Linked DNA regions of Mus musculus: region 2 is reported to be linked to region 1. Evidence: microRNA targets listed by miRTarBase, many of them from high-throughput screens and not tested one by one. Region 1 holds a microRNA gene; the other region holds the end of a gene's coding sequence.

Evidence for each region. Region 1 holds the annotated microRNA mmu-miR-466b-3p (AUACAUACACGCACACAUAAGA, at 1,195-1,216, opposite strand). A microRNA usually pairs through its seed, bases 2 to 8, with sites in the 3' UTR of a target mRNA and lowers its output. Matches are read on the target gene's strand: a 7mer-m8 pairs with bases 2 to 8, a 7mer-A1 pairs with bases 2 to 7 and ends in A, and an 8mer does both.
Region 2: the mRNA of Marchf5 is a reported target of mmu-miR-466b-3p. Seed matches in the 3' UTR shown: 7mer-A1 at 1,251-1,257.

The regions. Positions count from the first base shown.
Region 1 is chr2:10,486,884-10,490,154 of GRCm38, reverse strand. Mir466b-5 (microRNA 466b-5) reads right to left here and starts at 1,268; the gene lies at 1,181-1,268. The region is part of intron 10 of Sfmbt2 (Scm-like with four mbt domains 2); the gene reads right to left. It overlaps Mir467a-5 (microRNA 467a-5), which reads right to left and starts at 1,556; the gene lies at 1,474-1,556. Mir669p-1 (microRNA 669p-1) reads right to left here and starts at 1,039; the gene lies at 953-1,039.
Region 2 is chr19:37,221,134-37,224,260 of GRCm38, reverse strand. It overlaps Marchf5 (membrane associated ring-CH-type finger 5), which reads right to left. Exons shown (of 6, transcript NM_027314.3): 6 at 1-2,871. The coding sequence ends at 2,755. Among named protein-coding and RNA genes, the nearest start is that of Gm25268, 11 kb to the left of the region's middle.

The sequences.
Region 1 (3,271 bases):
ATCATGAAGTTAAACATGAATTTGAACTCCTCATCCTCCTGACACTGGCAAGAGTACTCACCTCCTGAGACATAGCTCTGGCCATTCCTATGAATGTGTGTGCATGTGTGTATATGCATATTCATATAGAGAAGTGAATATGCAGACAACTATACACACATGCACATTTTTGGTGGGCATAAGATGAATCCCATGCTGATCATGAACTCATCATGAAATTCAGCACAAATTTGAACTCCTGATCCACCTGACTCTGTCAAGGGACTTCACCTGCTGAGTGAGACCTCTCCCCATTCAGTACTGAGGAATCTTAAAACTCTAAGTCACACGTCATTCAAATGGATCGATGAGTTGCACTGATGTTTGTGTGTGTGTTTCTGTTTGTGTCTGTGTACATGTATATATTTGTGTAGATAGGAACATACATATACTCAAATCCACACAAAATATAAACAGATACAGATAGGGATACATAGGGGGCATCACATGAATCCCAGGCATATCTCTAAGTCATCATGAAGTAAAGCATGAATTAGAACTCCTGATCCACAATCTTTCACACCTGGTGAGTAAAACCGTTCACTGTCCCAGTACTGCATAATCTTTAAAACTTTAAGTCGCATATCATTCAAACGTATAAATGAATGCAATTTTTTTCTCTGTGTCTGTGCTTTCATATACACGTTTGTTTATGTTTTGTATATCATGTCAACAGATGCAATGCATATACAAGTAAACACATATGCACATACATGGATGGCCTCACATGAATACCAGGATGATCTCTAACTGAATTAAGCATGAAGTTGAAATCCTTATCCTCCTGACTTTGTCAATCTTTTACACCTGGTGGGTGAGACCATTCAATGTCCCCTATTGCATAATCTCTAAAACTCTACATCACTTATCATTCAAAGGGATTGGCGAATGCCATTCCTGTGTCTGTGTATGTGTGCTTGCGTTTATACGTGTGTGTGTGTATGTTATGTATATTCAAATATAGACATGAACATGCACACACAACTATACACACATGCACATACATGGAGGAATCACAGGCTGATCTCTCATGAGGATAAGTATGAATTTGAACTCCTGATACTCTTAACTCTAGCAAGCATTTTCACTCTAAGTCACTTATCACTCAAATGGATTGATGAGTGCCATTCCCATGTGTCTGTGTGCTCATATGTGTCTTATGTGTGCGTGTATGTATATGTATATCATATTCACACATGTACATGTACACACACATCAACACATACACATATTCATAGGGGCAATCACATGAATGCCAGGATGACCTCTAACTCATCATGCCTTTACCATGAACTTGCACTCCTGATCTTCCCGACTCTACCAAGGGTTTCCCGTGGTTTGTGAGACCTCACCCTGGCCAGTCATACATAACCTCCAAAGCAGTAGGTCACATATCATTCAAATGGATCCGTGAGGGCCATTCCCGCATGTCTGTGTGCATGTGTGTGTAGGTGTGTGTATGTATATGCATAAAATATACACGCATATACATGCAGGCACTTACGCACACAGGCACATACATAGGGGCCATCACATTATTCCAGGATGATCTCTAACTGCTCATGAAGTTAAGCATGAAATTGAACTCCTGATCCTCCTGACACTGTCAATTGTTTACACCTGGTGAGTGAGACCTTCACTGTCCTACTTTATAATCAGCAAAATTCTAAGACATATATCATTCAAATGGATCAATGAGTGTCATTCTTATTTGTGTGAGTGTGCATGCCTGTGTGTGTGACTACATTTGTATGTGTGTGTATTTATATGTATGATCATATAAACACATGTACGTGCACACAAAATTATATGCACTTGTGCATACCTAGGGTCCATCACACAAAAACAGGGTGATCTCTCACTCATTATGAAGTTAAGCATGAATTTGAACTCCTGAGACTCCTAACTCTGGCAAGTGGTTTTCATCTGATAAGAGAGATTTTTCCCTATACCATGAATATACACTCAATGAAACTCTAAGCACGTATAAATCAAAAGGATGACTGCCATGTGTGTTTGTGTGCACATGTATGTTTCCCTAGTTGTGTGTGTGTGTGTGTGTGTGTGTATATATATATATATATATATATATACATATATATATATATATATATGCATGTTCATATACGCGCATGTACACGCACACTTCACCTATACACATAAACACAAACACAGGGAAAATCACATGAATTCCGGGCTGATCTCTAACTCATCATAAAGTTAAACATGAATTTGAATTGCTCATCCTCATGATGCTGGCAAGAGTATTCACCTCCTAACTAAGTCATAGCTCGGGCCATTCGTGGGAGTATGTTTGCATGTGAGTATATGCATATTCATGTACAGAAGTGAATATGTACTCAACTATACACACATGCACATTCTTGGTGGGCATCACATGAATCGCATGCTGAACTCTAACTCATCATGAAGTTAAACATAAATTTGAATTCCTCATCCTGACACTGACAAGAGTGCTCACCTCCTAACTGAGACATAGCTCTGGCCATTCCTATGAATGTGTGTGCATGTGTGTATATGCATATTCATATAGAGAAGTGAATATGCACACAACTATACACACATGCACATTTTTGGTGGGCATAAGATGAATCCCATGCTGATCATGAACTCATCACAAAATTCAGCACGAATTTGAACTCCTGATCCACCTGACTCTGTCAAGGGATTTCTCCTGCTGAGTGAGACCTCTCCCCATTCAGTAATGAGGAATCTTAAAACTCTAAGTCACATATCATTCAAATGGATCGATGAGTTGCATTCATGTTTGTGTGTGTGTTACTGTTTGTGTCTGTGTACATGTATATATTTGTGTAGATAGGTACATCCATATACTCAAATCCACACACAATAGAAACAGATACAGATAGGGATACATAGGGGGCATCACATGAATCCCAGGCATATCTCTAAGTCATCATGAAGTAAAGCATGAATTAGAACTCCTGATCCACAATCTTTCACACCTGGTGAGTAAAACCATTCACTGTCCCACTACTGCATAATCTTGAAAACTTTAAGTCACGTATCATTCAAACGTATAAATGAATGCAATTTTTTCCTGTGTGTGTGTGCTTGCATATACACGTGTGTTTATGTTATGTATATCATGTCAACACATACAATGCACATACAAGTAAGCACACATGCACATACATGGGTTGCATGACATTAATACCAAGATGTCTCCAAATGAAGTTAAGCATGAATT
Region 2 (3,127 bases), not on the chromosome of region 1:
ATAGAATTTTACTAATCACTGAATTCTAATTTTTTTAAAAAAAGGTTTAAATGTGACATTTCTAGGACAAAAAGAAAGGAAGGAAGGAAGGAAGGAAGGAAGGAAGGAAGGAAGGAAGGAAGGAAGAAAAAGAAAGAAAATCGGAGAACAGCATACTCACAAATCCTCAAGTCTGTGCTGGCTCTGTCCTCGAGGGCCCTACCCTTGGTTACTGCCCTGTCCTAGATGGGACGACCACCTTTAGGAGCTACTGAGGCCGAAAGTACCTGTCTTTTCTCAACCAAATCCTAGAAAGTGTCTAGGTGTGACTTGCATTTTAGAGATGAACGTAACTGTGGCTGAATAGCCACCTGGCCAAGGTTATACACTACAGCTACTAAAACTTGATGGGAGCTCAACGTAACCTATTCAGCTTTCAGTCTGCCCATGTCTTTTGATTTGTGGTTCCAGGGAGGCCTGTCATGTGGTGTTCAAATGCAGCAGGGCTAGTGTTCACTCTGGACTGCAGACAAGTGTGGCTCCCTCCCCATAGCTCTATAAACCTCTGCCTTCACGGGCCTTGATGCCAATAGATCGATCCAAGCAGCTCCCCACCCCCCACCACCACCCCGGAAATTAAAGTAGTACACAGGGAGCTGAGGGCTTGTGGCTGTGTAAAAGCTGCTCAACTTAACAGGAGTATCCAGGAAATGTCAGAATATATATATTTTCACACTGGCAATGATGGAAGCCAATTTCATAATTACAGCTGTAGATCTTAGTTATTTTTATATATAATCAGGGTTCACATTTTCTCTACAGAATAACAGCAGTGTTAAGGTTAACTCAGTCAAATTGCCCCTTATACCCTAGATAATTACAACTCTGGATGTTCAAAAGAGTCATTCCCACAGACACCGTAAAACTCAAAACTGAGATAACCAACCTAGAGAAAGATACCAGTCTTTACTAAAATATTTATTTACAATCTAACACAGCTCAATCTATATTTGTTACACTTCTAAAGAGAAGTATCCATTTCGCAGAAAGGGGGAGCATTATCATGCATCATATACTGTGAACAGCATTATTTTTTAAACTTTAAAAATTTTCATTCTAGGGGCTGGTGAGATGGCTCAGCGGGTAAGAGCACCCGACTGTTCTTCCGAAGGTCCGGAGTTCAAATCCCAGCAACCACATGGTGGCTCACAACCACCCATAATGAGATCTGACTCCCTCTTCTGGAGTGTCTGAAGACAGCTACAGTGTACTTACATATAATAAATAAATAAATCTTTAAAAAAAATTTTTCATTCTAATCAGATTGCTGAACATTGTAATGGTCACTATTAAACATGACCTAAATAATTGCTTTTGAACAATGAATATAAAACTAGTTAAACAATGACTAGTAAGGAGATCGCCCCCTTAATATGACAACTAAAATCTAAAAGGAGGGCTGGTGATGTAGTGTATACCTAGCATGTGTAAGGCCCTAGGTTCAATCCACAGCATTAAGTTAGAAAAGCAGGTGTTGTGGTGCTCACCTGTAGTTAGGAGGCTCAGGGATCAGGAGCTCAAGGCCACCTTCAGATACACAGGAAGTCTGAGGTTAGCTATGCTAGAGACCCTGATTCAAAAACAAGATACCCTAAAAACAGTATTGGCTATCCTATAAACAGATAAAGTGGAAACCAATGACCCTGATCAATACTCCATAATTACCTCACTGATATTCAAGAGCTCCCTTGGGTTCAATCAGTGCTTGTTCTATTAGACTGCAGACTCTCTGAACAAGTTCCCCAACTCTATCCCATAGCACCTGCACAGTGACTAGGTAAGTGGGAGCCAGTTAACAAATATCTGAATAACGGAATCAACAGAAACCCAATAATTTTATTATCATTTTTTGCAAGTTGTTCTCTGCTTAACCTATGAATCAGTAGTTCTAATTTGTAGAAATACAAATTTAAAAACATACTAAGTGATAAAAGGGCCTTCCACCTCATTTCCCTATCACTATCCTCTGCTTCCCTCCCTCCTACCTTCTTTCTGAAGTCCCCTTCCCCGCTCACACACACACCCTCACACCACACACACAGGACGACTACGAGTCAAAAGTACACTATGAACTATGAGATGTCAACATTGCATAAATAAAGTTTAATAGTGAAAAAGTGCTTTGGAAGCCCTGGAAACTGACCCTTCACATCTGAGATGTCACATGGGTTTAGGAAAAGAAAACAAAATCTCTTTTGTTCAGATAATCACTTCAATGCTGACATACATTTCTGGGTTTGTTATTTATTCAGAACTAGTTTACACTTCCTCCTGTTAACAGAGGCTCCTTTGTAGCATACAATCAATTACACCAATGAGAAAAGCCCTCACAGTTCCTTCATCGAGTTGCTATTCCTAAGAAAACACTGAACTGAGTATATACAAAAGAGGCGTCAGAATAAAACATGTCCACTTTTAATGTTTGTACAGTTTTATCTTTACATTCTTGTCTGGAAAAATATGAACAAACTCAGGTTTCCCATGCTAAAATAATGGTTTAGCCGACTGCCATAAAAGTAGAACATACAAATGACAGAGCTGACGCGTGTCCTTAGGTCCGTGATTACTGGGCGGCTTGCCCCGGCCCTGCGTGCTTTATTGTATCTCTTAGAATATAGGAGCAGCGTCACAAGTCTCCACTAGCGCATTAATGATGGAATCAGAACACAACAGACTCGTCAGGATGAGAGGCCTCAGAACAACCAGAAGTCAGTTTTATGCTTCTTCTTGCTCTGGATAATTTAGGATTTTGCGGTGTGCCTGACGTAAATATTGCTGCTGTTTGAAGTAAACCTTAAATGCTCCTTTTATGGCAACAAAAGCAATTCCACCCTAAAATAAAAAGGGAAATTAATGTTTTTATAATGCAGGATCAGATAAACAAGAAAAAGAACTTTACACCTATCACAAAAGACAGGATTTGAAGCCAAGTAAATGCTGATAATTACAAGTGAAACATTCTCTTCTGTGAGGGCAGAAGTTGGGAAAGAGCAGGCTTCAAGTAGCAAAGGAAGAGGCCCTGTTCCTACATCACTTGTGTAGCTTTCTTCCCATGGAGTTCTTACACACTGAGAGAGAGGAGAATGCC